Sus scrofa: one gene and its partners. The protein of the gene in region 4 interacts with the protein of the main gene of each other region in a pairwise test. Links are inferred from orthologs where the notes say so. Each region holds a gene or a part of one and is shown on either strand. Other genes may lie near its edges. The genes, in order: TPRN, WBP11, CSRNP1, PPP1CA, STAU1, SPRED1 and ZFYVE9.

Region 1 (4,113 bases), on a different chromosome or scaffold from region 4:
CTTCTTCGCAGCGGACGGGCTCAGCACCTACTTCACCACTATCGTCTCCGTGCGCCTCTTCCAGGACGGAGAGAAGCGGCTGGCCGTGCTCCGCCTTTTCTGGGTCCTCACAGTTCTTAGCCTCAAGTTCGTCTTCGAGATGTTGTTGTGCCAGAAGCTGGTGGAGCAGACTCGGGAGCTCTGGTTCGGCCTGATCACGTCCCCGGTGTTCATTCTTCTGCAGCTGCTCATGATCCGTGCCTGCCGGGTCAACTAGCCTCGCAGAGGATATATTGGAATGCTGGACCCCAAGCTGAGGTCCCACTTGTACTGCATCAGAAGTCTGAGTCTGACATCCAGCTTGAGCCCTGCCGAGTGCCCAGTTTTCTCTCTTCCAGTCATGTCTGAACTTGTTCCCTCAGCAGGGCTAAAAAGAGCAGCCATGATCCTTGAAATGTACTCCCTCTTCTTTCATGCTTTGAATAGCTAACTTTGAATTGAGATCCCGAGAAGGGCCCCAGGCCACACAGTACTGAACACCTCTGACAGGTGGAAACTACATGTAGGCAAAATGCTCTGATCGGCTCTGAGTACTTTCATGGATCCTGGGGAGGTACCCCCTGTGCAAAGGCTGCGAAGCTGGACTCGAGCTTTCCTCTGGCCAGCAGCGCTGACCTGAGCGCTCCCGGCCCCAGCCCCAGCCCATCCAGGAGAAGACCTCCTTCGATGCCTGAGCTCTGGAAAGTGTAAACGTGCTTGTGTCTCCTTCCTGGTTTCCCTGGGGAGGACAGGCCTTCTTCATTCCAGCCCAGGCAGACAGGAGTACGTTGAATAATCACGACTGGAACCCTATGTGGAGTTCTCCACATAGCTGTGTGCTTTCCAGGCACTGCTTGGCTTCCTGTCCCAGCAGATTGCAGTGTCGTGACTTGTGCATCACCTTGTGGCCGGCCCTGTTAGCGTACCTGAGACAGATGTAGGCCTTCCTAGGGGACCAGGGAGAGGACCAGGTACCCTGAGGCTCGTGGGCATTGCGACCTACAAACGAGAAGTCTGCACATGGTCTCAGCCCATGCTTGTTGGCCTGAGGGCTTTGGTGTGGTGTCAGTCAGGTGCCAAATGAGAACATCTGCTGAGATGAAAATAAAAGCATGTTTTGCTGACGTGCACAGTGGTTGCTTGACCTCTTGATGGTGAAATAAGATGAATGCTGAGACGCCCCCTGCTGCGGGGTGCAGCAGGTTACAGAGCTGAGGTTGTAAGGGGGGCTGGAACTTGGCAGAGCTTCCTGGGCCGGGGGAGTGGTGGTGGTTCCCTTGGGGAATCCCAGATTCTGCCTGGGGAGGCAGGGGGTAGTCAACACAGGGTGCACTCGGGTTGAGAACCTATCAAGTTTGTGTGGCTTCAGAGTCTTTGTGGGCCTTGGCTGAGCTGCAGAGCAGGGGTTGGCAGACTATGGCCTGAGGCCTGTTTTTGTACTGCCCATCAGCTAAGAATGACGTACATCTTCATAGGGTTGTAAAAACAAAGAAGCATGTGCCAGGATGGGAATGTGGTCTGCAGTGTACAGGGTCTCTCAGTCTCGGCACTGTTGGCCTTTTGGGTCGGGTCCTTCTTCGTTGTGTGTGCATGGGGAGTGGCTGTCCTGATCCTTGTCGAGTGTTTAGTGGCAACCCTGGCCTCTACTCACGAAATGCCAGTGGCACCCCTCACTTGTGACAACCAAAAGTGTCTCCAGACATTGCCAAGTCTCCTGGAGGACAAAGCTGTCCCTGGTGAGAACCACTGGGCTAAAATATTTACTGGCTGGCCCTTTACAGAACACGTTTGTGGACCCTTTTTCTAGCGAAGCACCTTTGGGAACTTTTCCTGGGATGGATCCCACGTGGCCTGAACCACTGAGATGCTTGAGCTGGAAACTGGTCGTTTGCCCCACAGCCTCAAAAATGTCTCTTACCCAGGATCCGCTCAACGTGTCGAAGCCAGACACAAGCTGGTCCTTGGGAGTGGGTTTCTTTTTAATGTTCTTTTCAGGTTGTGTGTTTTGGTGTCCCTCCGCTGTATTCTGGTAGTTCAGAATGAGGTAATCCTGTCGACCTAGAAGTGATAAGAAGGCCTAACTTCTTTGGAAGGGTGGTTTGAGGCGCGTCCTGAAGGGACATCTGGGCTCTGGAAGGCAGAACTGCAGTTTCTTCTCTCTAGATGAATAGATTGGGCTGTTGGAGTGCTGTTAAAGTAGTGGCAGCTACAGACTGCCAAGGGCCCCAGGCTGAGCCGGACACCCCCAGGTCGAAGCCTGCCCCTGGATTTTGCAGAGCCCCAGGTGCTCTTGGAGCCTGGTCCCTGAAAGGTAAGCAGTGTGGGACGCAGTGGTGTCATTACTGGACAACTGCTGACGTAGGGCAGGTGACGTTGTCCTTGTCTACGGCCACCTTCCCCCTCTCTCCTTGGCACCCACAGGCACTGTGGGTGGGCACTGTGCAGCCCTCCAAGGGGAGTAAGCTTCCTCTTGGCAAGTAGGCAGAGAAGCTGTGTTCTCAGAGTCAGTGGCGCTCATACCAGCCTTGGGACGGGCGGTTCCACACGTGAACGGAGTATACGCTCTGACTCGAGGTTCTGTCTGCGTTGGAGAGCTGTGGGCCTGCTTTCGTGCGGGGAGGGAGCCCCCTTCCTCTGTACCTGCTCACGGCTTCCACACTCCCCTCTGTGTTTGGTGGGCTCTGGGCGTGAGTGGAGTTTCCACTACTACTCTGAGCAACTGAGTGGATACTGGGGGCGGCAAGAGCTAGGGACTCCCGAGAAAGCAATTCCTCAGCACCGGATGGGGCCCTAGCATTGGCATCCCCCAGAAGTCCCGCGGGGGACAGAGGACTGCAGGTGGGCAGTTCCTGGACCATGAGGCAGGTGTGCAGCCGGTTCCCTGCTCACGGAAGCTTCCAGCCCTGGGTTGGCTCTTCCTCCATCGATCTTCCCACGGGGGTAACGCAGACCGGGACCTGCTCTCCCCGGGCTCAGTCCGGTGGGGGCGGGGGTCTGGCCGAGGGAGCAGAGGCGAAAGTGGGGGCCTCCGAGGAGCGACCTGAGGCGTCGGGGGCGTGTCCGAGAGGGCCTCGCCAATGGGGGCCTGCTGCGGCGAAGGCCACTGTCCACCGGGGCTCGCGGGTAGGCGGGGTCGGGGAGGGCGCCCTCCAATCAGCACGGCCCGCCATCCTTCCCTGCCATAGGTGGGGCCGCCGGGCCCGGGCGGGTCTGAACGGACCTCCTCCAATGTGCGGCGGCCGGGAGGGCGTGGCCGCGGCGCGAAGGCCGGCGGCGGGCGGTGGCCGCAGTTCCTGGCCCTCGCTGGCTCCGGCGGCCGCTCTGCAGCATGGCCGGCCTGGGGCGGCCGGGCCCGGGATCCCGCACCGCGATGCCCGCCTGGAAGCGAGAGATCCTGGAGCGGAAGCGGGCCAAACTGGCGGCCTTGGGTGGGGGCGCGGCGCCGGGCGCCGGGGCGGGCGCGGCGGAGCCCCCGGGGCCGGCGGCCGAGCGGCTGGTGCTGGCCGAGAGCCTGGGCCCGCTCCGCGAGAACCCGTTCATGCGGCTCGAGTCGGAGCGGCGGCGTGGAGCGCGGTACGGCGGGGGCGCGGGCGTGGCGGGTCAGGGGGCGCGGCAGGCGCCGCCGCTGCTGGAGCTGTACCGCTGCGTGCCTGGCGTGCGCACCATCCGCGCCGACAACATCCTCATCATCGAGTCGGCGCCCGGCTTCCCGCCGGCTCCTGCGCCCGAGCCCGGCCCCGGCCCGGGCCCGGCTGCCCGCATCCGCGCCGCCGAGGTGCTCGTGTACGAGGCGCCGCCGCCTCCCGGTCGCGTCAGTCGCCTGCTCCAGAAGTTCGACCCGCCGGCCGCGCCGTGCCGCCGCGGGAGCCCAGAGCGCGGCCGCCCAGCGCCGCCGCCCTCCCCTGGCCGGTCCGTCCCGCGCGTGGGCGAGCGCGCCGCCTGCTTCAAGCCGGAGCCCGAGCGCTGCGGCTCAAGCCCTGGCCCCGGACCCCGGCGCAGCGACTTCCTGCACAAGACCGGCAGCAACTCCTTCACTGTCCATCCGCGGGGCCTGAGCCGCAGCGCAGGCACTCGCCCACTCCCCAACGGGCCCGC
Region 2 (4,178 bases), on a different chromosome or scaffold from region 4:
CTGTTCTTCTGGGACTCAAAATTCAGACTAAAACCAAATCAAGTGTTTTCTAAAGCAAGAGTTCCTTTAGATAAGGGACCGACTTTACAGGTTAAATGCCTATTTAAATACTCTCTAAAAGTTAATTATATACCTCCGTCAAGATTTTGGCATATTTATAACCGATAATAAGACTTGGCCTGTGTTAACATTTCCCTATAAGGGAAAGATTAAGGGGAGAAATAACCAAGGTGTCCTTATATTTTCTTAAATATTTAAACTTACCTTTAAAAGGAAAAGATATGGGAGGACTCTCAGATAAAGAGCCCATAAAAGCGAAGGAAAAGGACTGAGATTAGACCTAAGGAACTAAGTCCGTTAGCACAGTGACATCATAAAGGATTTTTGGTGAATGAAAAGAGCAGAAAAGAGCTGACATAAATCAATCTCACAACTCGTAAACTTAAAACTGACTGTACATGTACCCCACGTTCCCTCTTCAAAGAAAAATAGTCCTGCAGCAATCTGGGACTCTGATATGGGCACCGATTTGCTCAGGTCTACAAATGGTCTGTGTAAAAACTACTGAATTTCCAGGCGCACACCACGTTAGGCAAGTGCATCAAGCACAGCAAGAAGTGTTCTTGGGGGATTCTTTTTTATTTCATTTTATTTATTTATTTTTGTCTTTTTTGCCATTTCTTGGGCCGCTCCCGCGGCATATGGAGGTTCCCAGGCTCCGAATGGGAGATCGGAGCTATAGCGGCCCAGCCTACGCCAGAACCACAGCAAGGCGGGATCGGCGCCGCGTCTGTGACCTACACCACGCTCACGGCAACACCGGATTCTTAACCCACTGAGCAAAGCCAGGGATCGAACCCGCAACCTCATGGTTCCTACTCGGATTCGTTAACCACTGAGCCACGACAGGAACGCCCGGGATTCTTTTTTAAACAGAAACTCTCAAAAGACGGCAAGCGCTGGTCATGATCAAAGAAACTACAGAAACACAATCCCCGGTAACACAAACGGCGCTAAACTTCCCCATCCGGATTCCGCCCGCCTCAGGCGGTGAAATAAATGCGGATCCCGGAAATTAGGTCAGAATGCCTGAGGGTAGGACTGTCGTCGCATCAGCCAATCATATATCCCACCCGCTTAATTTTCTTATTCTTAACTGGGCTATAGGAGTGTCAATCAACATGCACTGCACTGAGTAATGAGGGCGGGCTCTCAGCCCCGACCAACCAATTCGGTACTGTACTCCAGCGGAAGAGACTCTGGTCCTGGAGTTGTCGGTTACTCTCTATGGTTTCAGGGCGCCGAAACGATGAGATTGTCGGCCCGTATGGAGAGGAAGTGACGTAAGGATGGCGGAGGGGCGCGAGGTTTCAAGATGGCGGTGGCTGGGTGGCTGACCGAGAGGCAGAGGTGAAGGCCTCTGCGAAGTCAAACAGGCCAAGAATCGTCCCCTCCCCGCTTCTCACAGCCCCAGGAGCCCAGCAGAGGTGTGAGTGTGCGGGATCGTTCCCCTGTGGTTCTTCATCCTTCGGGTCCCTTCCTGGGGCCCGCGCGGTTGCCCCGGGAACGCCAGGCCCCTGTGCCCCCGCTTTTCCTTTTCGCGGTTAGCGTCTACCAGACCGGGAACTAGGGGATCCCCGAGCCTGGAACGGAGCAGCGTCCGGCGGTCAAGCGCCTGACTTCTCCCGGGTTGGTCAGCGGAGCCTCCTGACGTTGACCGGGTTGCCTTAGGTTTGATGTGATGTCTATACCTGGAATCAGGGTCAACCGTCGCTATGGTTTCGGCAGTTGCTAATACTGTTGGCCCCTTGTTGGACCTGGGCTCCGTTCCTTTGAAGCCTCTTTGGAGGTTGAGAGTTCCGCTGAACAGCCCGTGACCCGATGTCTCTATCGCCTCTGCTTTTAGACAGGAAAGTAGTTTGTGCATAGTCAGGCTCCAGCATCTTCTGTAAAAATTCTCTGTACTTCGTACCTGTTTTAGGCTTCAGGCTGGGGAGAGGAGTGTCAACACCTAAGCCTGAGGGTAATTGAGAGAGGAAAGCAGAAAAGATAAAGCCATCAAAGATGCGAGAGCTTGTATTTGCACCAATTTTGCTTGTTTCCGCTTCCTTTCGCCCCTCACTCCCAGTTTTTGTGAGAAGGAAGCCCTTGACAGGGTGAATTAGTTGTTACTGGAACAGTTTTGAAGCTTTTTAGCAGAAATCCAGGCAGTTGAACACTTGCCGAAAGAGGTATTAACTAATAAACTTGCCTGAAAAAAACCTTCATGAAGGGAAGGGGGACTTACATGGTCTGCTAAAAAAGTGTACCTCATGATTTCTTTTCCACCTTTTATTATTTTCAAGAGCAAGCATCAAAAAGTTAAACCTCATTCATTTGGAATAACAGGAAGAAATAGTGTAATAGTGTCTTAAATTAATTAAAATTTTGACTTACAAAGTATTTTCCCTCAAACACAATTAACGCTTCCAGTGACCTTAAAAAAATACAAATCAGAAGTCAAGTTGATATTAGTAAGAAAAATATGTATCTTGATGTTTATGTGTTTAGAAGCTCTCATATACTTTCATTTTGAATATTTGTGTTTTTAGTTATGTTTTAAGCTTCTGCTTGAGAGTCAAGAATTATATCTGAATTCTAAATCTGCATTAAATAGGCTTAAATTAATGAGTTTTTACTGTCTTAGAGGTGTTGGGAAAACATGCCAGGAAACCAATGAAAGAGGCAAGGGTGAGCTATTTGTCGTTGAGCCCAGTTTTACACACACACCATCCCTTCTTATTCCTTTTCACCCTGCCTATAAATACAGGAAGGATATAGGAAAAGAACTAATAGCTTCTCATGCACATGGTTCATGTCATATTGTTGAAGCGTTTTCTGATTGATTTTTTTTTTTCTATTGATGAGTCAGTATTGTGATCCATAGAAGAAAGTTAACTGACGACTAACTGATATTCATAGTGATCTTCAGGCTCATTACCTTTGTAAATAATAATAGGAATCTGTTGGGGAAGTTGAGACTATCTTTCCTGGGCACTAAAGTCAAGACTAGGGAAAGAATAAGGTCTCAATCAAAGAAATGTTTCTTTTCAGAGTTTAGTAGGAAGAAAATTTTATCAGTATAAAAAGAAATTTTGTAAATATAGGAAAAATCAGTGTGGTTTTTTGTTTGTTTCTTTTTTTTTGTCTTTACAGGTTTTTAGGTTTTGGGCTTTTTTTTTTTTTAAACAAGTAAACCGTACAAATTGTCAACATGGGACGGAGATCAACATCATCCACCAAGAGTGGAAAATTTATGAACCCCACAGACCAAGCCAGTAAGTATCCATTAATGTGAAATGATAAGGAGGAGAAGTGGTAAAAATCACAAGGTTTAGGAAGTCTATTTTAAGCCTTAGAGATCAGCAGTGTTAGGAAGTATCAGTTATAAAATTACCTATTGTTCTCTTGGGCACATGATTAAAACTTTAAGCATACCAAAAAAAGTAGCACCTGTATTTCTAATTTGATTGACTTTCAAAGTAGAATTGGCTTAAAGCTTTCTTTTTGTATTTGGGATTTTAAACAAATTGTTTTTAAGTTTTTGTTTAGTATTTTTTGGCATCTTTTTTCTTCAGAATCATAGCTATTTTTTGAGGGACTTAACAATGTCTTGATTCATCTTGGGTTGATGTAATTGGAAGGGTGCTGTTGGCCTCTAATGGGTAAAATCAAGGAGTGCTGCTAAATCCTACAGTGCCCAGGGTCAACCTCCCACGTTAAAGAATTATCTGTATTAAATTGGAGAAAATGCTAATGTTCAAGACTTGAAAGTTTTATTTTCTTTCTGTCTCCCTCTCTTAAGGAAAAGAAGCTCGGAAGAGAGAATTAAAGAAGGTATGACTTCAGAAGCATCCTATTAGATATAAGTGTAGTTTGGCACATCTTATTATTTGCAATGAGTGGATTTAGAAAACATTTCCAGTTGTTTTTGAGAAAAGATACATTATGCTTCTCATAACAAACCATAAGATTTACTAAGCCAAAGTACTATACTTGCAAACTGAGGTATACAGTTACATTGTTTTTTGTAAGCCAAAATACTATACTTGCAAACTGAAGTATACAGTTACAGACAGATTATTGTAACATAGTTTTTTGGTTTTTGGTTTTTTAGGGCCGCACCTGTGGCATGCAGA
Region 3 (4,355 bases), on a different chromosome or scaffold from region 4:
AGAAATTATCTCCTCCCTGATATTGTGGGAGGAGGAAGAGCCCCTGGCTCTTGTGATCTGCCATCCCACCTGGAAACCCAGAGGCTGAGAGAGAGAGGCAGAGGCAGATGAGACAAAAAGACTCAGTCAAGAGACAAGGAGAGGCCAAGTCGAAAAGGAATGAAAGATAGAGAAAGAGTCCAAGAAAAGTGTCAGACAGTGAGTCAGAGGGTGGGGGAGGGGCCCCCAGCAGCTACCCAGGAATCAAGATCCTGACCATGGCACTGTTCCCAGGGTGAGCACAGCCCCCTCCAAGGGTCCTGTAGGAAGGAAAAGCAATTCCCAGGAGCTGGCTCAGACAGAAATACCACACCCCCTGGAGCCCCGGAGACAGGCCCTGAATCAAAGAGAACCAAGCTTCTTCCGGGATCTGCCTGGGCCCTGAGAATCAGGCCGCCCTGCATCACCACTCACAGGAGCCCAGAGCCCAAGCCAGCGGAGGGGGGGGCGCTTCTTCACCCAACTTGCCACAACTAACTGCACACTCAGGCCACACTATTGTCAACCCAGGGAAGGCCAACTCACCCTGGATACCAAGCAAACAAAGACTGTTTGGGGGGCGGGGGAAATGCCCAGGCCTCTGAAAAATCACACTAACTCCTCTTCGACCTCTGCAGTCCCAATGCTCCAGCTCCCAGTCAGAGCTATTATTGGGAAGGGGGCACCTTCATCTGCCTCCAACCTCTTTCAGGAATCTGAAGAATGTGTCCTTTAACCTCAGAGCCCCAGGCCTTGGTCAAGCCAGCTCCCCTCAACACCTGGGGTCACATGACCTTGGACCCTCAGGAACTACTTCCTGGGAGAAAGGGAGGGCACCTCTGAGCAGCTCATGCCCCCAAGGGAATTGGCTAGAAAACACCCAGGACAGCCTAAAGAAAGCAGATAGGAAGCCTTGGCACACCCCTCCCCCACCCAACCCTCAGAAAGTGACGGGGGGAGGGGACAGTTCCTCAGCCTTGGCCTCCAGGGCCTGGCACTGGGGAGGTGCCAAAAGTTTGCTGGCTACATGAGGCAATTGCTCCTGCAGAAGGGAAATTGCACCTGACAGTGAACGCTTCCTCCACCTAAGCGGGGCCCCTTCACTCTCATTCATTTATTCATTCAATCAACAAATATTTATTGAGCGCCTAGGACATGCCAAGCACTGTGTCAGGCACCTGGGCATACACAGAGTAAGACATACACTAGTGCTGCCCCCTTAGAGCTGTGAGTTTAGTGGGGCGGAGTATAATTAGAGTTACAAACTGTGTTGAGTGCTGGAATGGAGAGTGGGAGGGATATTTTTTTTTGAAGTTAAAATTAGGTATTTATTTTGTTCCACTCCACTAAGGCAAGATATCCCTGGTTAGGTGAAGTCAGGTATCTCCAAGGAAAGGAGAGGAAGTAGGAAAAATACCAGAGTGGGGGCTAGAGGAGGGAGAGCTAGGGAGGTGAGGGGAAAGGGGCAGCCTGCGAGGGGGCTTCAGGAGCCTGGGCAGTTACAGCAGGCTTTAGCCTGAGGGCTCAGGAAGCCACTGAAAGGTTTTAAGTAGGGAGTGACATACCAGATTTGCATTTTAAAAAGATGGCTCCCGCTCAGGACTGGAGGGGGTGTGACCAGTTGGACCAGAGCTAGGTGAGAGATGACAGGCCAAAGGCTTAGGAGAAAGGGGGCAGGAACTTGGTGACCTCTGGAGCTGGGGACCAAAGAGGCCAGTGAAGTTGAGGATTTGGGGTAAGTGATGAGTTGCGCTCCAGAGGACTGTGAGGCATCGGAGTGGAGGTGTCGGGTGGGCAGTGGAGCCAGGCAGGGACCCTCTTGTGTCATGAGTGTGGGCTGTGCGTGACTGTGCCAGGGAGTAGGAGTGACTAAGTGTGTGCGACGGCTGCTGTGGTGTGGGCATCTTAACGGGGCCCCCGGGGAGGGTAAACTGAGGACCAGGAGGAAGTACGTGCTGGGGAGGGAGCCGTGAGTGGGAGAAGCCTACGTGTGCCCGCGGGTGGCCAGTGTAGCTGCGCCCGTGACTCACAGCGGTGGCCTCTGCGTGTGACGGTGACTGACAAACAGGTGAGCATACGACATAATCCCTCCCTCCCTCCAGGGGTCCGTGACTCACGGAGCCTCACTCCTCGCTCTTCTCTCCACTCCCTCCCTGACGGGCGCCGGGCACTCGCCGCAGCCCCGGCACCCGCCCCCGGGGGGAGCCCGAGGAGGAAGGCGACAAATGTCACCTGCTCCGGCCACGCGAGGAACTTCTGAAAAGTTCTCAGGCAACTGGGTCAAAAGGGAACTCACCCGGGACGCGCGCCCGCCGCCACCCCGCCACCCGCGCGCTATCCCGGCTCGGCTGCCACTCACCCCAGGCTCGGGGCACAGGGACTTCTTGGGGTCCCAGTGGCGGGGCGGGGGAGGGGAGGGGAGCGGAAAACCTGAGACTGTCGCCTCCCCGGCTCCCGGCCCGGACTTCCTCCGTGGCGCGCGGTCCGGGGCCAGGCTGTCTTCGTCCTGGCGCCCGAGCAAAGGTGGCTGGAGAAAACGGCAGGGGCCGGGGAGCAGCGCCCCCCGCACGGGACGCCCCCTTCCTAAAGTCTGTCCCACCGGTCTGAAGCCCCCGACACTGACCTGAGATCCGGATGCTCGCCAAGGGCAACGCTGAGACCTGCGTCCCGGCTGGGAACGCCCCCTACACGGCGACCCCGCGCTCGCTAGCTCGCTCAGCCGGCAGCGATCTGCCCAGCAGCCCCTCTCTCTCTGTGCGTCCGGCAGCAGCGGCGGCGGCGGGAGACTGGCTGCGCCCGGCCCCGCCCGCAACTCCGCCCTCCTCGTCAGTGGAAAACTCCGGGGCTCACGGCGCTGACGCATGCCGGGCCTCCCGCCCCGCCCCGCCCCGCCCCGCCCCGCCCCGCCCCGGAGGCACCGCCTCCTCCCCCTCCCGAGCCGGCGCAGCAGCCGCAGGCCTCCCTGCGGACTCTGACCTCGCGCCAGCGCCGCTGGCGCTCTCCACCCCCAGCCCCCTCCTTCGCCCCTCCGCCGCAATCCCGCGGGCTCTCCTCCGCACACACTTTTGGAGAATCCCCGAAGCTCCGGGCCGGCAGAGCAGGATCGTAAAGATCCCCACCTCTCTTCACGGCCCCAGTTCACAGATAGGTAGACTGAGGCCCAGAGCAATGCAGAGCGTACCTCAGGCCATCCGTGGGTGGCAGAGCCGAGGCCTCCTATACATCTTACCCCCACCTTGCCCGAGGCAGTTTACTATAATCCAATCAAATATTCCTTCCTCCCTACCCGCCCCCATCCGCCTGGAAAGTAACCTGGAGATGAACCAGAGGAGGGGAGTGGAGGTGGGGACGGGGCGGGGGGGGGGGGAGGGGGGGGAGAAGGTCATCCTTGGGCCTGACCTTCACCTCTGCGCACGGGCGAGAAACCCTGCAGAAGCCCAAAGCTAGGGATTCCTGGAACCAGTTTACCCCCACCCCACCGCCACCCCATCCCTCCCTTAAAAAAAAAAGAAAGAAAAAAAAAAAAAGGAAGAGAGAAGGGTAGTTTCTTCTGAGCCAGACCCTGGCCACTTAAATGGCCCACTGCCTGCTCTGCTCCCGCCAAGGCCTTTCCTGACTAAGGGCCAATTCCTCCAATGTTACTGCGCCTGGGAAAGTGTGTGCATGTCTCCGCGGCGAGTTCTGGCCCAGGAGCCCACCCTCCACCCATCTTCCCAACCCCTGGTCAGATCCGACCCACCACCACCCACCACGTCTCTTGAGCGTTTCCACCCTCACACCTTTGCAGCAGCCTTTCCTCTCACCTCGAATGCCTTCTTGTTCTCTCACTGCTTAGCAAAATCCCAACGCCCTTAAGGTCTCAACTTGCACTGCCTCCTCCAGGGAGACTTCGTGGGCTCCTGACCCTCCCCCTCCCAGTCTGGCTCCCGCTGCATTCTGGGTTCTTCTCTGACTGTCCTAGATGAGTGCTGTCTGTGACTAGTCCAGCCCTCAGGGTTGCTTTCTACCTAACTCCAGGTGAGCAGTGGGGGTGACCTGTTCTGCCTGGTTGGCATCTGGGGTACAGATGATGGAAAGATCTCCCTTAACGGCCACAGGTGTGTCTATAGAGGGGGTCAAGAGGGGGTCTGCCTGCCCTTTCCTTTTCCTAGGAAGAATGTAAGGGGGAAGCTACTGCTCCTGTTCTTCCTGGATGCACTGAATGTATGTACCTGGGGGGGCCTTCTGGGGGAGGTGGCTGGACAGCGGAAGCCAACCTTCCAGTGACTTCCCAGTGCTCTCAGGATGAAGTCTCAACTTCATACCTACAAAGCTGGAATAATCAGGCCCTTGCCTAC
Region 4 (4,176 bases):
ACGGCAGCGCCGGATCCTTAACCCACTGAGCAAAGCCAGGGATCAAACCCGCAACCTCATGATTCCTAGTTGGATTCATTTCCGCTGCGCCACAATGGGAACTCTGAGAATTACGGTTTATTGAATGTTTGCTCTTCACGAAATAACATTTTTCACATGCGCACAATGTAGCTTAATTATGCTACTCAAAAGGCAATGATAAAACATAAAAAAAAAAAAAAAAAAACAGGGAGTTCCCCATCGTGGTACAGTGGAAACGAATCGGACTAGGAACCATGGAGTTTCAGGTTTGATCCCTGGCCTCGCTCAGTGGGTTAAGGATCTGGTGTTGCTATGGCTGTGGTGTAGGCTGGCAGCTGTAGCTCTGATTGGACTCCTGGCCTGGGAACCTCCATATGCCGTGGGTGTGGTCCTAAAAAGGACAAAAAGACAATAAATAAATAAATACATAGATAGGAGTTCTTTCTGTGGTGCAGCGGATTAGTGGTATGGCTTGTCTCTGTAGAGGCGCTGGTTCAGCATTGCTGCATCTGTGGCATAGGTCGCAGCTCCAGCCTGGATTCAGTCCCTGGCCCAGGAACTTCCACGTGCAGCTGAGAAAGAAAAAAAAAATTAACCGCTAATTCAGCTTGCATCACAGGCACTGTGGACCAAAATGGGCTTGGAGTTTAGTGACAGGTTTCTAGGTCTGGTCAGTCACCTGGGGGCCACAGAGACTCCGGAGGTAGAGGCCCTTGAATTAGGTCCAGGTCTTGGACCAACCCTTTGCTATCTCTGTGCACTTCAAGGACTTGATCGGCAGTATTTGGGGAGACCCAATGAGTTACCGATGAGCTCACACCAACTTCCCGCCCAGGGCGGAGGTGAGAAGGACTGCGTAGCCCTTAAAAGAGAAAAACAACTTCCACAGCACTTCCTGTCCCATATTCTCTGGAAAGGGGTGGCCAACTTCTCATAGGCAGAACTAGACTCGACCTCGCCCCTCGAAGCCCCGCCCACCAAGAGGCTCCGCCCCAGAGATGGGCGTTCCGTCCGAGTCCCGCCCCGTGACTGAGGCCCCGCCCCCCGGGCCGCTTGGGCCTCTGCGCCCGGCGTCCGGCGGAGGCGCTAGAGCGCTGGGGCAGCGGACGGGGCGGGGCGGGGCGGGGCGACGAGGGGCGGAGCGGGCGGCCGAGGAGGCGGGGCGGCGGGCCGGGGCGGGCCGGGCCGGGCCGGGCGGAAGGAGAGCCAGGCCGGAAGGAGGCAGCGGGAGGGTGGGAGGCAGGAGCGGGCCCGGAGCTGCTGGGCCAGAGCGGCGGCGCCGCCATGTCCGACAGCGAGAAGCTCAACCTGGACTCTATCATCGGGCGCCTGCTGGAAGGTTGGCCGGGGCGGGGGAGGTGGGCGCCCGCCGCGCCCTGGCCCCCTTCCCGGCCCGGAAGTGGCGCGCGGGTGGACCTGCCCCTCCCAGGGCCAGCTTAGACTGGGCGGGGACGGGCCGCGAGGTCCCGTGGCCGTGGCTCTCCCCGCCAAATCGCGGCGCGCCTGGAGGTCTGGGGTTGTTCCCCGCGCTGGAACAGGGCCGGGGCGCATGGGTCGGCCTGGGCTCTTGGGGTGAGGGAGAAACCCGAGAAGCCTAGCCACCCGGGAAGGGGTCCTGCGCTATCAGGCTTTGGGTGGTAGGGCCCCTGCGCACAGCAGTCCCCTCCCAAGTGCCTTGAGGGTAGTTGGGGTCCGGTCCCAGGAGGCTCAGCAGCAACAGCTGCCTCTGGGCAAGGAGGGGCCCAGGCGCCCCAGAAGTGCTCATGAGGGCCTGTGTGTCACCCACCCTCTCCTAGTCTCAGGGACCAGGGTCCTGACGCTCCTTCCACCCTCAGTGCAGGGCTCGCGGCCTGGAAAGAATGTACAGCTGACAGAGAACGAGATCCGTGGTCTGTGCCTCAAATCCCGGGAGATTTTCCTGAGCCAGCCCATCCTTCTGGAGCTGGAGGCACCCCTCAAGATCTGCGGTGAGCCCCCTGCCCAGCCCCTTTGCTTCCTGGAAGTGGTTTTGGCCCCTCTAAAGTCCCTGGATCCCAGCCTTATCCCTGGGTTCAGGTTTAGACTGAACCTAGACCTGACCTGGTTCCCTGGGTCCCAGGTGACATCCACGGCCAGTACTATGACCTTCTGCGGCTGTTCGAGTACGGCGGCTTCCCTCCAGAGAGCAACTACCTGTTCCTGGGGGACTACGTGGACCGGGGCAAGCAGTCTTTGGAGACCATCTGCCTGCTGCTGGCCTATAAGATCAAGTACCCGGAGAACTTCTTCCTGCTCCGTGGGAACCACGAGTGTGCCAGCATCAACCGCATCTATGGCTTCTACGATGAGTGTAAGTGCCATGGGTGTCTGGGGCTGCCCGGGTCCTAAAGGGCTCTCCTGGCCATTCAGAGGGACCCTCGAGTTGGCCTGGCAGCTGGGGTATCAGTGTCTGACAAATACCTGCTAGACTGAGCTCCGTGAAGGCAGGGCCGGGCCAGGCCAGTTCAGGTCTCTCCACCTGCCCTCCTGGCATGGGTCCTGGCACTCAGGAGGGATCTGGTGAATGGGTGCTGGCTGCAGGGCTGCCCGTATTCTAATAAGGGCCTTGCCCAGTGACACTCCCCTCCAGCGCATCCGTTACTTAAGCACTTAGGCTGCCTGTCTGGACTGGACTCTGTTTGCCAGAAGCAGAGATAAACAGACCTGGTCTTGGCCTGGCCCTGCTCATGTGCTGCAGGTGGGTGCCAACCCTGAGGTTGTTCCAGAACTGGAATGCTGGGGTTCCTGGAAAGCTGGTAGGCAGTGGGATGGGTTTCCCTTCCTTGCCCTCTCTGCTTCCCTCCCAGCTGTGTCTGAACAGCACATGATGTGCCCTGCAAGGCCCAGGGACCCCGGCTGAAGGTGGGGCAGCCAGGCCTTCTCACGAGCCACCTCCTTCCTCTGGGCAGGCAAGAGACGCTACAACATCAAGCTGTGGAAAACCTTCACTGACTGCTTCAACTGCCTGCCTATCGCTGCCATTGTGGACGAGAAGATCTTTTGCTGCCACGGAGGTGAGAGCAGCTCTGGGGCCCGCGCTGGAGGAGTGCTTGGGAGGGACGAGCCTGGCCCCATCCCGGGGGGCTTGGGGACAAAGGCATCAGCTGCAACAGTTCTCCCCCGAGTCGTTTCTTCCATGAAGTCCCCCCGCACCCTCATGTCAGGCTGTGCTGTCAGGTCGTGGCCACAGCTTCACACGTGGAGTTTGTCTCCTTTCTCCAAGGAGCCCTGTGCTCCTTGAAGAAACAGGGGCTACGAGAGGCAGAAGGTGGCGAGGTCTGCCTGTCATGGCTCCCAGGAGACCACGGAGGGGTGGGGACAGAGGCTGATCGGCAAGGCTTCCCGGAGGAGGCAGGGGCCTCGTTTTGAGGCTCAAGGAAGTGATCTACCTCCTGTGCTCCCCAGGCCTGTCCCCCGACCTGCAGTCCATGGAGCAGATTCGGCGTATCATGCGGCCCACAGACGTGCCTGACCAGGGCTTACTGTGTGACCTGCTGTGGTCTGACCCCGACAAGGACGTGCAGGGCTGGGGCGAGAATGACCGCGGCGTCTCCTTTACCTTTGGAGCGGAGGTGGTGGCCAAGTTCCTGCACAAGCACGACTTGGATCTCATCTGCCGGGCACACCAGGTGGGCTGGCGGCGCTGGGCTGGGCTGGGCTGGGGCGGGGCAGCCGGCACCTGCTGAACTAACTGCCCCCACCCTCACCCAGGTGGTAGAAGATGGCTACGAGTTCTTTGCCAAGAGGCAGCTGGTGACACTCTTCTCAGCTCCTAACTACTGCGGCGAGTTTGACAACGCAGGCGCCATGATGAGCGTGGACGAGACGCTCATGTGCTCCTTCCAGGTGGGCAGGGGGCCGGAAGGGGCCGGAAGGGGCCGGGGGCCTTTGGCCTGGCCCCATGAACCTGACTGGCTTGTTTCTTGTAGATCCTCAAGCCCGCCGACAAGAACAAGGGGAAATATGGGCAGTTCAGTGGCCTGAATCCTGGAGGCCGGCCCATCACCCCACCCCGCAACTCCGCCAAAGCCAAGAAATAGCCTCCATGTGCCCGCCCTCTATCCCAGATGGTGGATTGTACAGAAATCACATGGCCACAGGGGGGGTCACACTGGCCCCCAGGCCCACTTGTCATGG
Region 5 (4,087 bases), on a different chromosome or scaffold from region 4:
GTTCTTTTTTTTCTCAGCAAGAGAGAATGTGCCAGGACTTCTCAAGTAACTTAATGGCTCTGGTCATTCATGTCTTTCTAGAGGTTCAGCTTTAATTAAAAATCATTTTGAGACTTAAAAAAAAGTTAAAGTAACAAAAATTACCCTGTAATAGATGTGTTAGTTTGCTGCTTTCTGCTTGGTTGGCTTTTTCTGTTCTTTGTTGCTTGTTATTTTTTAGTACTTTTGACTTAAACATTTTCAGCTTTTCGAAGGATGGCCATGAAAATATGCAGAACTGCCCTTATTTTTGACTCATGAATAAATTTAAATGTCTTTAGATGCAAGGCCTTTGGAAGATGCTGTAAACAGTCTCCTCTGTTCCTCAGGCTCTACCCGCTACCAGTAGAAAAATTGCCAGTCTGAAATCTTTTCCTCTCTTCTTCATCCTCTCCACTTTTGCTTTTAATAGTACAAATACTATAGAATGTTCTTTCCTATTCAGATAATTTCTCAGGGTCATGAGCATTGATGTGGGTGCCTCAGTTCTTGTTTGGGGCCTATAAATAAATATGACCATCTCAAACAAACCTCTCGTGAAAACAAAGAGATCTTTATCATCATAAGGAAAAAGAAACAGCAAACGTGAGGAATTCCTCTCTTTCTTCAGTCAACTTAAAGGAAAGCTCTCAGGGTGCCAGCCTAAGTAGTTGGCCCTAAAATGGAAGCAGTATTTAATCACCTGTTAATGGTGTTACCAATCCATTTTGCTTTCAGCTTCTTATCATTTTGAGATCAGAAACCTTTACTGTATTGCATATATAATAGAAAACTTATTCATATTTTTAAATTTGCATTTTTGAATATAAGCTGTGGTTTATGATTCTTAATATTCAACAATAAATATTATACCCTGCTGGTTCTCTTTGTAAAATAAACATGCAGAGCGTGTGGGTATTATAAGTTGTTTAAAAACACTATGAGAAAGTCATAAGGCTAGTGAACCTACCATATAACAAGGAGAAACACATTTCTAATACATCAACATAGCTACCTACTAAACGGGGCTATTTTCATACTTGAGTAGGTGACACCAGTTTTGACTGAATATTGGCAATTACGTATCTCCTCTATAATTTATCTTTTTATTTTCTTTCCCTACAACTTTCAGGTAGAACTTTAGACTTCATAGCACTGAATTAACCTGCACTGAAAGCTGTTTACCTGCAGTTGTTCACTTTTTTGAAAGTGACCATGTCTCAAGTTCAAGTGCAAGTTCAGAACCCATCTGCTGCTCTCTCAGGGAGCCAAATACTGAACAAGAACCAGTCTCTTCTCTCACAGCCTTTGATGAGTATTCCTTCTACTACTAGCTCTCTGCCCTCTGAAAATGCAGGTAGACCTATCCAAAACTCTGCTTTACCCTCTGCATCTATTACATCCACCAGTGCAGCTGCAGGTAAGCGTATGACTCCAAGTGTCTTCTGTTTCAAATGTTTTCTTAGCCTGTGTTCTGATCTGATAAGTAGATTGCAGATGTAGGGAGCTCTCACACATTTATCTTCAGGAAGCAGAAGAAAGTATTACTGCCCACACTTCTTTATCCCAGATATGAAACACTTGTTTGTATATTGGGTTGATGGAGGCCTTGGACAGACCATTTTGAAGTGTGAGAAAGAAAATTGGAAACTAAACTATAAAGTTTACTGTGTTATAAAGTGGTGGATGGCAGAAAGAATTGAATAATAAATACTACTTTGGATATTCATTACTATATGGGAAAATTTCTGCTTTTAAAGTTATTTCCCAGAGGAGTTCCCTGTTGTGGCTCTCGATAACAAATCCAACTAATATCTGTGAGGACACGGGTTTGATCCCCGACCTCGCTCAGTGGGTTAAGGATCTGGCATTGCTGTGAGCTGTGGTGTAGGTTGCAGATGTGGCTTGGATCTGGCGTTGCTGTGGCTGTGGTATAGGCTTGCAGCTACAGCTCCGATTTGACCCTTAGCCTGGAACTTCCATATGCCGCAAGTGCAGCCCTAAAAAAAAAAAAAAAAAAAAAAATTTATTTCCCAGAACTGACTTGTAGGTGTAAGCCTCCTTTTTGGATATATATAAGATTTATCCCAAGCATGGGAGCAGCCAGATTTACTGGAAAGCAAAAGTGTGTTACCATTCATTAATATTTATTTTGAAAAAGTAAGTTTAAGTTGAGGTTCCAGAGGTAGTTACGAAATCATAGTGTGGACCAATTAGAAATGGAACAAAGAAGCAGAGTTTTTTGGTTTTTTTGGTTTTGGCTGGAGCATGCAGCTGCTTGATGTGGGATCTCAGTTCCCAGAGCAGGGATTAAACCCAGGCCGTAGCAGTGGAAGCACCAAATCCCAATCACTGGACCACCAAGGAACTCCCAAGAAGCAGAGATTTTTTTTTTTTGAAAGGAAATAAGTTGAGAAGCAGTCATATTTGAATATTAGGAAATTAAACCGAACTAAATACTCTCACTCATCAGAAAGGATATGACACCTCTGAAAAAAGAACCTCCTGAAAACAATATTCTGCTTCCCAAACCTCCCCTGCCTCCGCCGAAGTTGCAACACCAATTAAATGGGGTATCAGCATGGGTGTCTCTATATTAGAGTCACCTTCTAACAAATTCTTTTCAACTCAATATGCTTGACAGTTTCGCTTGCATTTCCTCCTTCATCCTCTCATTTTCTTTACTTTTTAAATCTGTTCTTAGAGCGTTACCTTGTCCCACTCTCATCTGCATGGCATCTATCATGCTACCTCTAGACTTCCTTGGACTGGCTCACCAAATAGCATTCTTACCTTGTTATAGTCCCCTAAAGAGTCAGTGTTCCCCAGATTTGCCATTTGAATGCCATCTTAATAGGAAATGGCACAGACTATTTCAGTCCTCTGGGATTTATTGCTGTTTCTTCTCATGTGTTCTTATATCCACATTTTGTTAATTTTATAAAAGTCCTGTCTGCCAAAGCCATTTTATTTTTCTTGTATAATTGTCAGAAATAGATAAAGCCTGAGGATGGCAGCCTCTGGTGATAAGACTAGAGGACGTACCAAGAATGAGAAGTTAGCTGTGTGGAAAACGACAGTCGTTGTTTGAGAAATGGTATTGGCATGTTGCGTTTTGTGAAATAACGAACAGGGTACAGTTGACAGCTGTTGTGGTAACCAGTGTGTGTGTGTCTCTGCTCAAAAGATCTCCTGGTTATTCCTTTGTGTATAATAGCAGTGCTTCATCTGATTTCAAATCTTGCGTGCCTGCCATAATTTAGTTATTCCTCTGACTTCTGTTCTCTCTCTTTTGAAGACACACCCTCTCCTAGGTTACCGGGCTTCAACTGGTTCAGAAAAGATCTGGCTGTGTCTTCAGACTGTGCCCCCAGTGTGGTTTGCAGTTTTGCATCACGGCTGCTCTGAATCCTTAGACCTTCATTTTTCATATCCCTGGTAGAGCCACAGTCTTATATGCTACTAGTTGACTTCAATGCTCTTACATTATTTTTCAGTTCCTTCTAATATGGCACACCCCAAAGAGAAAACCCCAATGTGTCTTGTGAATGAGTTAGCCCGTTTCAACAAGATTCAGCCTGAGTATAAGCTTTTGCGTGAGCAAGGTCCAGCTCACTGTAAGGTAAATATTGTCCATACTGCTTGTGCGTTTATAACCCACTAGGAATGTTTTCTTTCTTTTTATATAGTTGCAAGTGGTGCTCTGATTCAAAATACGTATTTTTTAACTGCTGAGGTTGTCTGAAAGAGATGCAAAAGTACAGATTTTTGGCAAGTCGCTTCTTTTTTCATCTTTGCAGAATGGGTCAAAGAAAAGATAATGCATCTTTTGGGGGATATTTGGCTTTTAAAACTCCAATTAGTGTGTGGTTGTTTAAGATTCTGAATAGAGACAATTCCCAAGTACCTGCGAATGATTTCCTGTGAGTTTTACAGGCTCCGAGCCTCCTGGCTACAGCCTTCCTCTGGCTCCTTTCCTGCTTGTTTGCACGTGCACGTGTACCTTAGACTGGGCAGGGAGAGCAGGTGAGCAGGAAATCAGTTTTGCCACTTGCTAGCAATCCAGATA
Region 6 (4,400 bases), on a different chromosome or scaffold from region 4:
CTTTGCAGGAACAATATGAAAAACATAGGTTCAGAGGCAACTTCTGACTATTGCCTATCCCCTTTACCTCTTCCTGTCACTAACACTACCCCTTCCTTGCCCTGAGAAAGGACAATTCTGCTGCAAGACAAGAAGCAAGAGTTATATAAAACCTCAGAAATCAACGGGAGGGTCTTTGGGCAGACTGATTCAACTCCTTTATTTATTCCTCTAGGATTGACTAAGCACCTACAATGTCCAAAATACTATATAAAGGCTTGGTCCAGACTCTCTGGAACAGCAGTCCTGAAACTTCCTGGAGATGGATGGCAAACGAGTGCTGACTTATTCGGCAGTCTCCCACTTTTTCTTTCTCAGGAATTGTTCTATTCCTCAAGGTGGCAGGAGCAGCAACCTTCGTCCTCGGGTCGCACAAACCCAAGGAGAGAAAAAAAGCACTGCACACAGAGCCATACTGATACCTAGGGAGATGCGTCAGAAACTTGGGACTCAGTCCACCAGGCCTGATCCAGTACAGGCTGCCTTTCTAGGTAGGTAAGAGATAATAGCACTTGCAGAGCCAGGAGCTGAGTCCTCTGGTCCGGCAGACCCTTAAACTCTGGCCCAAACCCCAGTAGGTTTCTGTGCAAAAACCTTTTGAGCTGAATGCATACATTGTCCTCTAACATTGCAAACGTGACAGCTGCCTATTGAATAATTGTTCCGCCTCGGTTTAGAGCAGTTCGTGCGTGCCACAGAGGCATCTTCTGCGCTATAGTTATGCAACCTCACTCGCAGCGGGAGTTATTTCCTGTGCTTCTGGCTGCGCCAGATTCATATAACACGCCTACCCAGGGCTTCAATGGAAGTCGTTCTCCATTAACAACCACGCTAGCTTTTTGAGATGAATGCCCCGCACAGAATACCCCTTGCTCAGTAAGAATCCAAGGTATTTAAACTCTTTCTCCCTCTCTAACACACACACACACACACACACTCCTTCAGTGCATGCAGCTAGGAGACTGCAGCAGTGCAACCAGAGGGACAGCAGGAGGAGCTCTCTTTGTACATGTAGTCCCTTCCCTCCAACCCCCACCAACTAAAGATGAACTCATGCCAGTTCCATTCTTTGCTCTGCAAGGAAAACACACACACACACACACACACACACACACACACACACACACACACACACAGCTGAACAGAGGAGCCTCCATTGCCTCCTTGAGCACGCTGTCATCCTAGCCTCTAGGTTCAAACAACCCGGATATTCCAAAGCGAGTTAAGGGGAGTACCGCGCCGCCACAATGCAACCTCCGGAGCTGCTCCCGGTGCAGCTCCCACCCCCGCCTCCTTCCGCGGCGTGCCAAGAGTTTGGAGCGCGCGCACGCACACGAGCACCGTGCCTGCGTATCCCTCCGCCTCCCTCCTCCTCTCCCCGCTCTGTGGCTCGACAACGATTTGGGAAATGAAGGGAGGAGGGAACTACTTTCCTGAAACTTGCTATGCTGCACACGACTTCGAGTTGCGGTGATTCGTCCTGAGGTCGCAGCTTTTAGCCCTCCTACCCACTACACCCTCACAGCCCGGTCACCCCGCTCGGCCACCCCGCCCCATACCCACTCTGGTTCTCCGGGAAGCTGGCGGTGCGGGGAAATCGCCAGGGACTACTTCGTCTCCTTCTCCCGCGGGCGCCCCCGGTTCGGGCAGCGGCGGCGGCGGAAGGAGCGGGCGGCGTGAGCGCTTCCGCCGCCCCCCTCGCGGCTCCCCTCTGGCGGGCGTGAGGAGCTGACCCGCCGAGCTGCTGCTGGGCGCAGGCTGCTGGGGGACCCGCGGCCGCTCCCTCGCTCTCCCGACGCTTCTCGTGACCCTGCCCCTGGGGCGCGTCGCTCTTCTCCGGCCCGGCTGGGGGCGGTCGGTCCGCCTGCCCCTGCCTCACACGCGTCCCGCCGCCCCCTCCTCCCTCTTCTGGAACCGTCCCGGCCAGAGCGTGTCTGGAGGAATCCGCCGCCCTGAGGCCCCTCGCCCGCTTCTGCTCGTCCGGAAGGACCGGCCCGGTCGCCGCCGGGGACTGAGGGCAGCCGACCGCGAGGCGGGAGATGGTGGGGTGGGCTTCCGCAGGACCGCGCTGCCGCCGCCCGGGTCTGGGCTCGGCACCCCCCCGCCGGCCCCCACCGAGCGGAGCCCTGCTTCCTCCTCGCCGCATCCTTGAGGGAAGCGCCGCCTCTGCTCCTGGGTTCTCCGCCCGCCCGCTCCTTCCTGGCCGGACCCCGCCGCGCTCCACCCCAGTGGCCGGAGGAGCAGCTCTCCAGTCTGCCTTTGCAGCCCCCCTGCCTTTTTTCTTCTCCTCCCACCCTCCCTGGCTTCCTCGGATCTCTTGGCTGGGCGCTGAGGCGGGCGAAGAGGCTGGGGTCGCCACGGTGGAGGTTGTCGCCGCCACCCCCCTGCGGGGGTGGCCGGGGTTCCCGGCTGGGGGGGTACCGTTCCGGGTGAGACATCCACCATGGTGAGGCCCCTGAGCCGCTGCCCCCGCGCCCCCCCGGCCGCCGCTGCCTCTTGCCCCTCGGTGCTGCTGCTGCTCCTGCGTCTGCTGTTGCTCCTCCATCTCCAGATCGGATCACGGTGAGGGAAAGATGAGCGAGGAGACGGCGACTTCTGACAACGAGTAAGCACCTTACTGATCTTGATTACTTACCACCCCTCCCATAGCCCCCTTCCTTGGCACTCCCCCAGACCCCTCAGAGACTTAGGTGCTTGCAACCCTGGAGAGTTCGGTGCATCTTGCTGTGGAGAAAACATTTGTTTTTTTAGCCATTTTATTTAATGGCTGCACCCCACCCCCTCACCCCCACCCCCAGCCTTTAGTTGCTTTCATCTGGGGGAAGGTATTTAGTGTTGGGCTGGGATGGCAATTGTGCGCTCGGGAGATGGAGTGCTGTAGATGCATGGAGGCGGGGTAGAAATTACCCCAGTGCCTGGAAGACCTCTGGCCTGTCCTTTTTCACTTTAGCATGCCGGTCAGCATACCTTGAATATCCGTCCTGCCTCCTTTATAGCAGTTTCTTTCGGAAACTAACGTGTGGGAGCACCTCCTGCCGCAAACTGCTCTTGAATCTTAATTCGATGAGTCAGTGACTCTTAAATACCGATTAAGCCCCCCCCCCTTTTAAACTTGTGACCTGTAGGATTCTTGTAAAAAAATGGGGCGAGGGAAACATTTTAATAATTTAATAGCATTAAGGACACCTTGAGTGTGGGAGATGTTAAACTATACTGTTTTGCCTTGCGAATGCTGGACTTGTCTTTATCAGGAGCGTAGAAGGATTTTGAACGCTCAGCTATAAGGATTTTTATCTCTCTCAGCTGTATTTTGAAACACACCATTTACGTTGATTTAACAGTGTTTACATTGCTGACCTTTTTGATGACTTCATTCATTAACTTCTAGAGCATCCCGGCTTAAGTTCTTGTTTATTTGGGCTGTCCTTATGTTTTCCAAACGAAATACTGTGCCTTTAGAATATTTTGCTTTAACGTAACAGCTGCCTGGAGGAATAATGATGCGGCAACCGCTTTCTGTTGAGACGGGATTTAATTCCATGCTGCTTATTAGCATCCGTTTCTTGTAATTAAATTCAGGTTTTGATAATCTTTGGAGGGTTATAAAGAGTTAAGTGAGTTATAAAGAGTTAAGTGAGTTAGGACTAGTAGGACGCATTCCTTTAAGTAATGTGCATTCCTCAAGTCAGACCTTTTTGAGAGAACTTTAAAGTCCGAAGCCTAGGCTTGTTTAACGTAAAGTAGCTTGAGAAATGCCTTGCAGCGTCCCCCACCCCACCCCCCCCAGCGCTCTCTTCTGCTGAGCGGGTGTGGGAGAAGGTAGATTGCTGCAGTGTCAGTGCAGTCTGGAAGCAGAAGTGGCCGCCATGTTCTCTCTCTTTTTGTGAATCGTTCTCATTTGCATAGCACACTCTTCATTCATAAAAAAATAATTAAACATCCATCACCTTGGACATCTTGAAAGGATTTCCCAAGAAAAAAATTAGAAGCTCAACTGTCTGCCTTGCTGTAGATTTTTGAGTTCAGAAAGTAAGGAGAGTTCGAAGTTATAGGTTAAATTCAAAAATAGACGCACACACAAACAACTACCCCTGTTCTCAGAATGTTGACACAGTTATGTGGGAAATATCAGTTCGGGGAGGTGCTGGGATCACGTGATCGCGTCCATTCATAAAATACCTGGCTGTCCATTCACAGTGCTGTACACTGTCTCACTGCCTTCCGCAGATTAGACCTACTTTGAGAGAGATCAAAAAGTATCTCAGATAACGCAAAGTTAGTAGAGAAAAACTGCTAAAAATCCTGAACAGATTGACGATATTTTTTCTAGTATCGTCTTTTAAGAAAGTAATCTGGATTAA
Region 7 (3,633 bases), on a different chromosome or scaffold from region 4:
CATCTCAGTCATGATGTAGATTATAGAGCATTCTGCCTTCACAGAGAATTCCTTTGTTTTCCTCCCACTCAATTACTACATCCTTATCATTGTTCTGATTTGTTTCCATCTCAGAGGATCCCCTACCCCATGCTTTGCTAATCCAAGGCCTTCCCCATTACTGCCACCCCACCCCAGGCCCCAAATATAGCCTGTGGACCACTTTAATTATGTTACTAGACTTGTTTGGAATGTTCTGAAGTATTAGCATTTGATGACATGTAATACAGGGAGCAGTATTTTCTTATCCTCAGCTAACAATTGGAAACTCCATATCCTAGGAATATTCAGTTTTCACATATCCTGAGAATATTTTATTTTCAGTGCATATTTGCAAATGTAGTTCATTAACTTAGTTCTAGCCTTATCAGTGTTATAGCAAACTTATTGTAATTATTTATTTTTTCAGATGAAACTGTTTCTCCTATCTTATTGGATACAAAATGGAATAAGATACTAGATCCCTCTTCTCACCGACTGTCATTTAACCCTGCATTGGCCAGTGTGAATGAACCTACAGTTTCTGAGTCACAGCCACAACTGAAAATCTTCTCCCTGGCTCATTCAGCTCCTCTTAACACAAAGGGAGAGGACCATTGTGCTAATGGACAGGATTGTAGTCTGAATCCAGAGATTAGCACAATGTGGATTGATGAAAATGCAGTTGCAGAAGACCAGTTAATTAAGAGGAACTGTACCCAAGATGATCAATGCAGTACTGTTGAAGTGGGAGAGAAGAAATGTGGAAACCTAGCTTGTCTGCCAGATGAGAAGAATGTTCTTGTTGTAGCCGTCATGCATAACTGTGATAAAAGGACATTACAAAGTGATTTGCAGGACTGTAATAATTATAATAGTCAATCCCTCATGGATGCTTTTAACAGTTCGCTGGATAATGAAAACAGACAAACTGATCAATTTAGTTTTAGTATAAATGGGTCCAGTGAGAAAGGAATGAACTCAGAGAAACAAGTAGATCCATTGAGTAGACCAAATGCAGAGGGGGATTCTGTTAAATATATGTGTACTACTTCATCTGATAATCTGGCCAGTGTCTGTTCCCCTGCACAGTTACAGGATGATGAAAATACAGATAGAGAACCCTCCATGTCTTTGATTACAAGTTTAACACTTGATTCAGTAATCTCATCCCAGGGAACGGATGAAGGTCCTGCCATAAAGCAAGCGGACTCTACACCAGATGAGGTTCTCACTGGCCAAACCAGCTCTCCTAGGACAGATCTAGGGAGCCCCAATTCCTTTTCCCACTTGAGTGAGGGGATATTGACAGAAAAAGAGCCAGCAGAGGAGAGAACAACAGAAGAATCCATCCAGTCTGGTTTACCTTTGCTTCTCAAAGCAGACGTGCCTAATGGGTCTGGAAGGGCTGATAACTGTGAGCAGTTTTCAGATAGCCTTGTACCCCGTGACATTGGAGCTGATGAAAATGAAGGTTGTAAACATGAAGAAATTCTTGGCACCTCAGAACTTCTTAATATGACAGAGCATTTCTCTGAATCTCAGGAGATGACTAATTGGAAATTGACTGAACCAAACAAGATGAATGACAGCCAGGTAAATATGGAGAATGAGAAGTTTCTGCAGATAAGTCACCCTGAAGACAGCCACGATGATAGTGGAGGAGAGTGTGATAGATTGGCAGAAGCAAGTCTAGATTTAAAAGGAAACTGCATGAATGAAAGTGAAGGATGTGATTTCTCCACTGTCATGGATACACCAGCAGCAAATTCACTATCTAGTTGTGATTCCTATGGAATGCAGAGCCCAGTTGTTTGTTTTGTTCCAAAGACTTTACCCTCCAAAGAAGATTCAGTAACAGAAGAAAAGGAAATAGAAGAGAGCAAGTCTGAATGCTACTCAAATATTTATGAACAGAGAGGCAATGAAACCACAGAAGGGAGTGGACTACTTTTAAACAGCAGTGGTGACCTCATGAAGAAAAATTATTTACACAATTTCTGTAGCCAAGTTCCATCTGTGCTTGGGCAATCTTCACCTAAGATAGTAGCAAACCTGCAATCTATCAGTGTTCCTTTTGGTGGTGCAAGACCCAAGCAACCCTCTAATCTTAAACTTCAAATTCCAAAGCCATTATCAGACCATTTACAAAATGACCTTCCTGTAAACAGTGGAAATAATATTAAAAACAAAAATGATGTCCTCGGGAAAGCAAAATTAGGGGAAAATTCAGCAACCAATATATGCAATGCCTCTTTGGGAAATATCTCTATTGCTGACACAAATGGGGAACATTTAGAAAGTTATGAGTCTGGAATATCCAGTAGACCGTGCCTTGCGTTAGCTCCGGAAAGCCCAGATAATGATCTCAGAGCTGGTCAGTTTGGAATTTCTGCTAGAAAGCCATTTACCACTCTGGGTGAAGTGGCTCCAGTATGGGTACCAGATTCTCAGGCTCCAAATTGCATGAAATGCGAAGCCAGGTTTACATTCACCAAAAGGAGGCATCATTGCAGAGCATGTGGGAAGGTAAGTTGTGTGTATCAGCTCAGGAATCTGGCATGCACATTTTGTAATGCTGAGTTAGAAGTAGTAAGGGCAATATAAAGTAAGCATACTTCTGGTTGAGATGACATTGTAAGTAGCTTTTGAACATCTAGTTATAGTAAGTTTCCAAATGAAAAATGACCTCATGGAGTCCTAGTGTTTATATACATTTTGTTGTTGTTGTTGTAAAGATTTAAGCTGAATCAATGTTTATGAATACATGAGAATTGAGGAAGTGTTAACTTTGTGGTTAGTTGCTTAATGGAATAGTTTGAAATAAGGAAGTTATTCTTTTGATTTAAGAAATATTTGCAATTGGCTCTTTTTAAATTCTTGAGTAACTGAACATTATAAAGACCATTCCAGTTTTTACTATAGGATTTTTGCCATTGTACTGGACATTCTGGAACTTTCTGCACATATATACACATATTTTTGTCTTTTCCCCCGTATAACTGATACAAAAAAAAAAAAGAGCTGAAGGCTTTAGATCCTTGTGATAGGGTTATAGGAATAATTGATATTTCTTAGCTCTCCCTTAATTCTCTTAGCTAAAGGAGGAAAGGGGATTTTGTATTTTTAAAAAGAATGCAGGCTTTGGTGTCAGGTCTGGGTTTGAACTTCAGCTTTGTTACTATCACTGTATAACTTTATTAAGCTTTAGTTTTTCATAAAAACAAAAAGATCATTTTCATTGGGCTGTTATGAAGATTAAATGAGATTACAAATGTAATAGTGCTAAGTAATTAACCTCTATACCCTTCTTGCCTGATTTATTGGTCTGTTTGTATTAATTAGAATGCCTTCACCTTCAAAGAGCAGAGTATCTGGCCCTCAGTGACTTAGACAAAATAACATTTCACATAGCAAGAAACCTGAAAATAGAGACTCTGCATGCTTTGTATATGGTCAGAATCGTTGACGTGCTCTTGGTCTTCCCCTTGTGGTCTCAAGATGTGGCACAGCTCTAAGCATTAAGTCCAACCTGGCCTCTTCCCAAGTGCAAGAAACTGATTAGGGGCAAAACAGCCTATTCCTCTTGCTGCCCCCACATCAGGGAGGAAAGAA

What was found.
Region 1: the proteins of PPP1CA (region 4) and TPRN interact in binary tests that used the Homo sapiens proteins (3 or more experiments, as listed by UniProt). The link is inferred for Sus scrofa from reciprocal best matches to the Homo sapiens genes PPP1CA and TPRN.
Region 2: the proteins of PPP1CA (region 4) and WBP11 interact in binary tests that used the Homo sapiens proteins (3 or more experiments, as listed by UniProt). The link is inferred for Sus scrofa from reciprocal best matches to the Homo sapiens genes PPP1CA and WBP11.
Region 3: the proteins of PPP1CA (region 4) and CSRNP1 interact in binary tests that used the Homo sapiens proteins (3 or more experiments, as listed by UniProt). The link is inferred for Sus scrofa from reciprocal best matches to the Homo sapiens genes PPP1CA and CSRNP1.
Region 5: the proteins of PPP1CA (region 4) and STAU1 interact in a two-hybrid assay, tested with the Homo sapiens proteins (2 studies listed by BioGRID and IntAct). The link is inferred for Sus scrofa from reciprocal best matches to the Homo sapiens genes PPP1CA and STAU1.
Region 6: the proteins of PPP1CA (region 4) and SPRED1 interact in binary tests that used the Homo sapiens proteins (3 or more experiments, as listed by UniProt). The link is inferred for Sus scrofa from reciprocal best matches to the Homo sapiens genes PPP1CA and SPRED1.
Region 7: the proteins of PPP1CA (region 4) and ZFYVE9 interact in binary tests that used the Homo sapiens proteins (3 or more experiments, as listed by UniProt). The link is inferred for Sus scrofa from reciprocal best matches to the Homo sapiens genes PPP1CA and ZFYVE9.

The regions. Positions count from the first base shown.
Region 1 is NW_018084833.1:698,412-702,524, forward strand, and holds the start of TPRN (taperin), read left to right. Parts: upstream 1-1,296; 5' UTR 1,297-3,346; coding exon 3,347-4,113. Other genes in the region: TMEM203 (transmembrane protein 203), read left to right, coding at 1-256. UniProt on the Homo sapiens protein: Essential for hearing. Required for maintenance of stereocilia on both inner and outer hair cells. Necessary for the integrity of the stereociliary rootlet.
Region 2 is NC_010447.5:57,748,663-57,752,840, forward strand, and holds the start of WBP11 (WW domain-binding protein 11), read left to right. Parts: upstream 1-1,285; 5' UTR 1,286-1,489; intron 1,490-3,195; 5' UTR 3,196-3,253; coding exon 3,254-3,317; intron 3,318-3,844; coding exon 3,845-3,876; intron 3,877-4,178. UniProt on the Homo sapiens protein: Activates pre-mRNA splicing. May inhibit PP1 phosphatase activity.
Region 3 is NC_010455.5:23,842,348-23,846,702, forward strand, and holds the start of CSRNP1 (cysteine/serine-rich nuclear protein 1), read right to left. Parts: upstream 2,852-4,355; 5' UTR 2,642-2,851; intron 1,754-2,641; exon of another isoform or gene 1,466-1,753; intron 1-1,465. UniProt on the Homo sapiens protein: Binds to the consensus sequence 5'-AGAGTG-3' and has transcriptional activator activity. May have a tumor-suppressor function. May play a role in apoptosis.
Region 4 is NC_010444.4:5,118,932-5,123,107, forward strand, and holds the start of PPP1CA (serine/threonine-protein phosphatase PP1-alpha catalytic subunit), read left to right. Parts: upstream 1-1,270; 5' UTR 1,271-1,305; coding exon 1,306-1,360; intron 1,361-1,856; coding exon 1,857-1,988; intron 1,989-2,119; coding exon 2,120-2,350; intron 2,351-2,948; coding exon 2,949-3,053; intron 3,054-3,444; coding exon 3,445-3,668; intron 3,669-3,750; coding exon 3,751-3,885; intron 3,886-3,968; coding exon 3,969-4,079; 3' UTR 4,080-4,176. UniProt on the Homo sapiens protein: Protein phosphatase that associates with over 200 regulatory proteins to form highly specific holoenzymes which dephosphorylate hundreds of biological targets.
Region 5 is NC_010459.5:50,849,283-50,853,369, reverse strand, and holds the start of STAU1 (double-stranded RNA-binding protein Staufen homolog 1), read left to right. Parts: upstream 1-1,196; 5' UTR 1,197-1,233; coding exon 1,234-1,438; intron 1,439-3,515; coding exon 3,516-3,640; intron 3,641-4,087. UniProt on the Homo sapiens protein: Binds double-stranded RNA (regardless of the sequence) and tubulin.
Region 6 is NC_010443.5:133,013,795-133,018,194, reverse strand, and holds the start of SPRED1 (sprouty-related, EVH1 domain-containing protein 1), read left to right. Parts: upstream 1-1,469; 5' UTR 1,470-1,602; coding exon of another isoform or gene 1,603-2,584; 5' UTR 2,585-2,612; coding exon 2,613-2,644; intron 2,645-4,400. Other genes in the region: basic salivary proline-rich protein 2-like, read right to left, coding at 1,603-2,584. UniProt on the Homo sapiens protein: Tyrosine kinase substrate that inhibits growth-factor-mediated activation of MAP kinase. Negatively regulates hematopoiesis of bone marrow.
Region 7 is NC_010448.4:159,983,904-159,987,536, reverse strand, and holds part of ZFYVE9 (zinc finger FYVE domain-containing protein 9), read left to right. Parts: intron 1-448; coding exon 449-2,547; intron 2,548-3,633. UniProt on the Homo sapiens protein: Early endosomal protein that functions to recruit SMAD2/SMAD3 to intracellular membranes and to the TGF-beta receptor.